Bombyx mori: one gene and its partner. The protein of the gene in region 1 purifies or fractionates together with the protein of each later gene. This does not show direct contact. Links are inferred from orthologs where the notes say so. Each region holds a gene or a part of one and is shown on either strand. Other genes may lie near its edges.

Evidence for each region. The genes of interacting proteins can lie anywhere in the genome.
Region 2: the proteins of BAG family molecular chaperone regulator 2 (region 1) and protein lingerer purify together in Homo sapiens (affinity purification with mass spectrometry; 3 studies listed by BioGRID and IntAct, with this or other methods). This does not show direct contact. The link is inferred for Bombyx mori from reciprocal best matches to the Homo sapiens genes BAG2 and UBAP2.

What each region holds. Positions count from the first base shown.
Region 1 is NC_085125.1:2,380,866-2,385,042, forward strand, and holds the start of BAG family molecular chaperone regulator 2, read left to right. Parts: upstream 1-1,349; 5' UTR 1,350-1,556; coding exon 1,557-1,660; exon of another isoform or gene 1,661-1,954; coding exon of another isoform or gene 1,955-1,959; intron 1,960-4,177. UniProt on the Homo sapiens protein: Co-chaperone for HSP70 and HSC70 chaperone proteins. Acts as a nucleotide-exchange factor (NEF) promoting the release of ADP from the HSP70 and HSC70 proteins thereby triggering client/substrate protein release.
Region 2 is NC_085134.1:1,867,720-1,871,376, forward strand, and holds part of protein lingerer, read left to right. Parts: intron 1-162; coding exon 163-270; intron 271-1,265; coding exon 1,266-1,350; intron 1,351-2,173; coding exon 2,174-2,295; intron 2,296-3,201; coding exon 3,202-3,300; intron 3,301-3,607; coding exon 3,608-3,657. UniProt on the Homo sapiens protein: Recruits the ubiquitination machinery to RNA polymerase II for polyubiquitination, removal and degradation, when the transcription-coupled nucleotide excision repair (TC-NER) machinery fails to resolve DNA damage. May promote the degradation of ANXA2.

The DNA of each region.
Region 1 (4,177 bases):
GCGCCACCCACATTGACATATAAATTCTAAGGTCTCAGTATAGTTACAATGGCTGTCCCACCCTTCAAACCGAAACGCATTATTGCTTCACGGCAGAAATAGACAGGGTGGTGGTACATACACGCGCGGACTGACAAGAGGTCCCACCACCAGTAATTACGCAAATTATAATTTTGCGTTTTTGATTTTTATTACACGATGTTATTCCTTCACCGTGGAAGTCAATCGTGAACATTTGTTAAGTACATTAAAAAAATTGGTAGTGGTGCGGGATTCGAACACCGGTGCACCGGATACGAATGCACCAGACGTCTTATCCTTTAGGCCACGACGACTTCTAACTTACTACTAACTAACGTAATATGTTTAATAATGTTATTATTTAATTTATCTATGTCTTCGTTTCTGTAATACTATCACATAATCTATTTCTTTTAATTGTCCTAAATTATCTCGTTTTCTTTATTCGGACAAAGTAATCTAATAGCATTTAACACTAGGTTCATAGCTAATACAGTGCATAGTGTAGCTAATGTAATGTTTTATATACTTAAAGACGTTTCATATAGGGTATTTTTAATGAAACATGCTTAACTACAATGTGTATTTTATTTTGTCTCAATCAGTTTTTTTATAAGCCTTTAAGATGTACCTACGTTGTCTTCATCCTTCCATTTGGCAATGTGATCTGGCATTATTTATTTTCTTTTTCGAATTCCTCCAAATAGATTGAAGTCTTTCTACCGAGATGTGGTAGTGGCCTTTTTAGACACCACATATTCTAGATAAGGTAAGGTAGATTGGAATCCTCTTAGTTGTTTTAGCATGACAATCGGCTTCTTGCATCACGTTGCCATTGTCGTATATATTTATTCCTCAATTACTCATGGTTTCCCAGCAACACGGTAGAAATTTACTGAGCGCTAATCTCAAATTTCTGGGAAGAACTAAAGAAGCCATTTTCAGAATTTTTTATCCCATTTTTTCCACATTTTCACAGATAGTAAACGGCTAATATGCCACCATAACTGCTCTTAAATATTAAGTAGATTATATATGATCACTACACGTTTAAACCTGACGAAAAACTAAATTAACAAAGAAAAAAATCACACTTCTTTTCGCCTCACATTCCCATCAAATTCACATTCACATCATATCCTTACGCAGTTTCCAGGCTTAATTACCATTATCCTTCAATTAAAAGCAGCTTTATCAGAGTCGCGTGCAGTCGGGTATTTATTTATTTATAGAATTGGTTCCACATTTTTGACAGGAATATTGAATAATTTTTTTGCCCAGACAGCTTTGCCTTAATCCTCAACACGTAGGTTGTATGGCTTTGTTCCGTTTGCCAGTCTTAGTTAAACATTCGTCAAGAATCAAGAAACGTCAGTCGAGTTCGATTTTGTTTTGGAAGTTTGCAGTGCGGTAGTTGAATATTGACGTCAAAGAAAATTGTAAAGACTTTGTTTTGAGCTTGTTAACAGCGCTGATCGATTAGCTTATACCTTTCAAAGAAAAACTGACGGTTTAGTGAAAGTGCATCTCAAACTATGGAGGTGGATCAATTTGCATTAGAGATTGCGTATCCAGAGGGTTCACGACTACCCCTCATCGACGAATCCTCGGTTCTAGGAACGCAGGCGCCGAAAGACAGGTATGGTTTTTCGACCGAATAAAATCGTTCATAAAAGGTGCTTGTAGGTACTCAAACTTTTCGAAAGCCAAAAATGGTATCGGCCGAAACTTTTGCGGTCGCCCACGCCACAAGCCTTGTTGAAACTATAATAAATTATTATTTTACCAAGATTACTATTTTGTTAGTCATATTGTTAGCCGTATAAGGTGATTGGAGCTTCGTGCTTATAATTATAGTAATCTAATTGGAATTACGTGACGACGTACGCATTCGTGACAACTACAAAGAAGTTATGATTAATTGTAGTCATTAATGAGGTATGTTACATTATTGATTTCAACATCTCCGATATATTTATTTTCATACGAAACGCTAGAAAATAAAAATAGTATAAATGAATGTTATAATACCAAAAAGTGTGAGGTTTTAAAGTTCTCATTTTTGTCTCATTAATTTCTTAATCAGAGTATTTCACTTTTATATTTGTAATATATTATCATTGTTACTAGCAGCAGCAATATTTAGTTTATGTTGTGTTGGGTGAAGAGTCAGATCCTACAACGTGATTACTACAAGATATCAGTAGACTGCCCAAGTTCTTTTTTCTGCTAATCGGTTCTTCCCATAACTTATTTGTAATATATATTTTGATATTTTACCTTTATAAATCAATCCTTCTCCTGTGCCCTGTGTAAATTTCACTGGTGTATTGTTAGCCCACACAGGACTACTACAGCTTTACCTATATCTACCATTGCAACATATTCAGCTTGTAATAAAAAACGTAAGGTTAGCAGTATTATCAATAAAAATTGCCTTTTCCAGGTAACTAGTAATGATATTGACGGTAGAAAGTGGAAATGTCGTAACTTGCTTTTGCATTCTGGATTTTCTTGTATAAAAAAAATACTGCTTCTGTAGTTTCGTTTTCCTATAATAAAATTTTTCATTCACCTTTATTTCATCCAATTTCATACCAATTTTGAACATTATATCTCTATAAATATATAAAATGAGTTATGAATTTTTGAAATAGTTTTATGGCTCCGGTATAAGGTCGGGTTTTTCAAGTTACGACAATTCTGCTTTCTTGCATCGATATGGTCAGTTACTATTCTATATCTCACTGAGTGAAGAAATAAGGGGAATATATTATTGTCTACAGGCTTCCTGTTTCAAAAAGTTAGACCCTCTTATGATAATGAATGAGTAACTCATGGCCCATCCGGTGTTAAGTGGTTACCGGGACCTATAGACATTTTAATTTGAATGAAGGTGGTCACTTTGTCATAAGAGTTTGAAATTTTAATTGATAAGTATATTTTAGTTTGAAAGTTTTGTATAGTCTTAAGTCATGTAGACAAGCTTGCTGGATTTATTGTGACCAGCCAGTTTCTTCGTTTTAATTGTGTTGCTAATGTCATAGTTTATGATTTGGTTGAACTATACAGAAAATAAAATAAATGAAACAATACCTTTGTTTTCACATGTCTTTGGATGCATAAAAGTGACCTTCATACTTTGAACTGTTTTAATTGAAATAAATCATTCAACATTCTCCTTCCTGGTTCTTTGTAAGCAATTAATTGTACAGTTCTCTATTACATAATCACATGTATGTGTGTTGTTAGTAAATGTATTTAAGAAATAGGACTGCTTTTTTTTTTTTTTAATTCACACCAGACACATTACCAACATTCGGTTAAGAGCTTATATGCATATCGACGCTTGAAAGGCAAACGTGACTAAGCGACAATGCGTGAACTTTACAGTAGACTAATTTAAAGTTAAAATACCTGAAAACAAAATTTATTTTAACGAAACCAGCTGTAGTAGAATCTAGCTAGTAGCAGTAGGATTGAAATGATTTTAATAGACCTAGAAATATATATTTTTTGCACATCGAAAATGGTTATTGCCTTTCATTTATGTACAAAGCAGTTATTGTCGCTTAGTCACTTTTGCCTTTCAAGCGTCGATATATATTTCCTTTTGTTAATGCCGAATATATCTATCTGCATATATTGGGGTATTTTTCTATAGTGTTCTTATTTCACCTTCTTCACCTTGATTTTCTAATTCAGTTTATCTCTTCATTTTCTGTAATTGTCATTGTCTGTCATTATCCATAATAAAACATGAAAGAGGAGTGCATGCGGTAGATATCTAAATGAAGACATGTGTGAATGTAGCCCCAGTGATTGATAAATTAAAGAGCGGACAGTTAGGGTGGTATGGACATGTGATGCATAGAGAGGAGATGCATGTGACTTTGAGATGTATGAAAATGGTAGTGCAAGGCAAAAGGGGAAGTGGTTGACCGAAGAAGACATGAAGTCGTGGCCTAAAGGATAAGACGTTCGGTGCATTCGTATCTCGCGATACATCAGTGTTCGAATCCTGCAGGCGGGTACCAATTTTTCAATACGTACTTAACAAATGTTCACGATTGACTTCCATGGTGAAGGAATAACATCGTGTAATAAAAATCTAACCCGCAAAATTATAATTTGCGTCATTACTGGGGGTAGGACC
Region 2 (3,657 bases), on another chromosome or scaffold:
TTGTGATTATAGAAGTATAATAGTGTTTGAAAATAGAATCATAATAGTGTACAAACTTTTAATTTCAATAAATTATAGTCGAATTTCGACTACCGGGCGACCACTAGTAATTTGGATAGTTGAATATGTGTCAATTACAAATGTTCATACAAAACGTTTCAGACATCGTCGTCGGGCGCGGTGTACGGCGGCAGCGCGCTGTACACTGCGGCTCCGTACACCGCCTACCAGCCACCGGCACAACCTAAGATCCAACCCAAAGAGCATCAGGTCCGTACCACTTTATATTACTTGTATCAAAATTCGTCGTGACCTAATAGATAAGACGTCCGCTGCATTCGTGTTGAGCGATGCACCGGTGTTCGAATCCCAGGCGGGTACCAATTTTTCTAATGAAATACGTACTCAACAAATGTTCACGATTGACTTCCACGGTGAAGGAATAACATCGTGTAATAAAAATTAAACCCGCAAAAATTATAATTTTCGTAATTACTGGTGGTAGGCCCTCTTGTGAGTCCGCACGGGTAGGTACCACCACCCTGCCTATTTCTGCTGTGAACCAGTAATGCGTTTCGGTCTGAGGGGTAGGGCAGCTGTTGTAACTGTACTGAGATCATAGAACTTATATCTCAAGGCGGGTAGCGCGTTTACATTGTAGATGTTTATGGGCTCCAGTAACCAGTTAACACCAGCTCACAGCTCACAGCCCACGCTGTGAGCTCGTCCATCCGTCTAAGCAATAAAAAAATAAAAAAATAAAACTCAAGAGGTACATTGCTAAGTAGCAATACCTCTGGTGAATGCTCGGCCGAGCTTGTACCGGTGTGATGGTAGTGCGTGCCGATTAGAAAGGGAAGGGCTTTTATTGTTTAGATGGTAATGAAATCATAGCCCACCCAGTGTTGAGTTTTTTATTGTTTGGATGGGTGAACTAGCTCCCAATCCACCTGGAGTCAAGTGGTTACTGGAGCCCATAGATATTGACAAATCTTTTCCGACGAAACCGTAATGCAACTAGGATTCGAAACATTGAGAGTGAAAAGACTGAAGAAGGACAAGAAATAAAAATATAATAATAATAACAACAACTCAAATACATGGCCAATAAAGAATTATTAAAATACTTGCTTTATTAATTTACACTAATTATCCAAATAAAAAACTGGCCTTGATAAAATAAAAAATCTGCTCATTTATGCCTCTAAGGCGGAACAAAGTTCGCTGGGTAGGCTAGTTTCATATAAAAATTTGTTAATTTTCAGTATGACAACTCAGTAGCGTCGAGCAACAGTTTGACGAGTACGTCCACCACGCAGACGTCGACAGCCAAGATTACGACGACTACAGGTACAAGCCACTGTTGTTAGAGTGTTTATTAGCTAGGTAGATGAGCTCACGGCCCGTCTAATGTTAACCGGTTACTGGAGCCCATAGACATCTGCAACGTAAATGCCGCCTTGAGACACCTTGAGATATGAGTTCTAAAGTCTCCGTTTTAACAATGGATTCTCCATCTTTTAAACCGAAAAGCATTACCGCTTCACGGCTGAAATAGGCAGGGTAATGGTACCTACCCGTGCAAACAGACAAGACGTCCTACGGCCAGTTCAATATAACTGAAGATAAGTTTGCGAACCGACAAGGAATTCTAACCTTACCTTACCTTATGAACCTTAAGATTTTATTGTACAGTTAACAATTTTTTAAATGATAAATCATTATGTTAATTTTAACTTTGCTACTTTTTGTTCTTTGTTTTCGTTTTATGACATAAATAACTAATTCTAATTCAATTAATGTATATTGTTGTTTGATATTTTAATTAATTAAAATATATTTACTGACTGCATTTAATGTAAATAATTTTGAATAATATTTGCATGCCGACCTGGTAGAAACACGTTGTTCTATAAAATAAAAATAACTATCAACAACTTTGTAAACTGTGTTTTATAGCTAATAAAGTTTGATTGGATTTGTTTTGATTTGATTAACATTTGAAGACGAAAAATGTTGTAACAGTTTTCTGGGGACTGATGTTGGGTCCCTGCAGTAGAGACCTGCCAGTAGAAACGATGTAAAAAGTTCATTCGTCATCCCGTCATTCTAAATAATTTCGAAGTCTTGCTGCTCAATAATTTATAAATGTGTATTTTGTTTATTACTGCAGTAGGAGCCGCGGCAGGAGTGGGGGGCGCGTACGCAGGAGGAGCGTTGTACAGCGGGGCCACCACTACCCCCTACGCCGCGTACGACGACCAGCTCATGAGGTCCACGCATCCGCACCATATGGTAATACTATTTGTTCACTGAGAATCACAGGTGGCTAGCTGATGAGTTAGACACAGATATTTTGGTGACAACGAATTGCTTTATCTATACTAATATTATAAAGAGGAAAGATTTAATTGTTTGTTTGTATTGAAGCTACATCTTTTTTGAAAAAAATAGGGATCTTTACTAAAACTCCATTAATGTAACCCAAGGTGTAAAAAAATTACCTAAAATATTCTTAACTTCGCGTGCCCTGCGAAAACTATTGATGATAAAATAAAATAATGTACTATGACTTTGTAGAACACATTATTATTTACACAAACACAGCGACAGCATATGTCTAACTATTATAATTATGCCTCAATAAGTGTTCTTTTATTTAAAAATAATAAAACTACGTCAAATATCGTTGAAATTTTTGTTAAAGACCCGAGCAGAACCGGACCGGGCCGCTAGTATATTGTACCCTTCTTTGTCGTATCACTTGTCAGAGCGGTCGAGGTCATCATTCAGTATCATTGCTGTGGGTAGATGTAATGCCACCAACTGCAGCCGACTTGATTTGGTCGGTCCATCGCATGAGCAACCTCCCACGCGAAATAACTTACCACAAAAAAATGTGTGCTTAGTGCGAGTTTTTTAACGTTCTCGATAGTGTAAAAGTTAGCTCATATTTGTATGGAATGGGATTGTTTGCCTTCGTTTGCCGCTAGGGGCGCTTTTCCGACTGCATATAAAATTTTGCTCACTTTTACGCTATCGAGAACGTTAAAAAACTCGCACTAAGCATACTGATCCCTTGATATTCGTATGAGGTGCCGCGTTGGATGTGCGCTCGCGTGCTATAAACCTGATTCTATAGAAGCAGCTAAACGCGAGTGCTGTGACACAAAGCGACGTAACGTTGTGTTGTTGTCCCAGGGCGGCTACTACGAGGTGGGCTACGGAGCCCGGGACGGCGCCTTCGGACTCAGCGCGGGCGACAGGTTCGGGCGCACCGACGCCGCCTCCCCGCAGCAGGTACGCAAGCCCTCATTACAACTCTGCTAATTGCTCCCGTCAAATTATAATGTTGCCATGGATAATATCGTGTAATATTGTAATTATACTGAGATCTTACAACTTATATCTCAAGGTGGGTGGCGGCATTTACGTTGTAGATGTCCATGGGCTCCAGTAACCACTTACATCAGGTGAGCTGTGAGCTCGTCTACCCATTTAAGCAATAAAAAAAGGAAAAAGCGGTTATGTCAATATTACAAACAGACACTCTAATTTTATTTATATATATGTATAGATTTCTCTATAACAGTAAATTTTGTTCCAGGTCCCGGCAGCCGCTCTACCTCCGGGATACGCGTACTTCGCGTACCAACC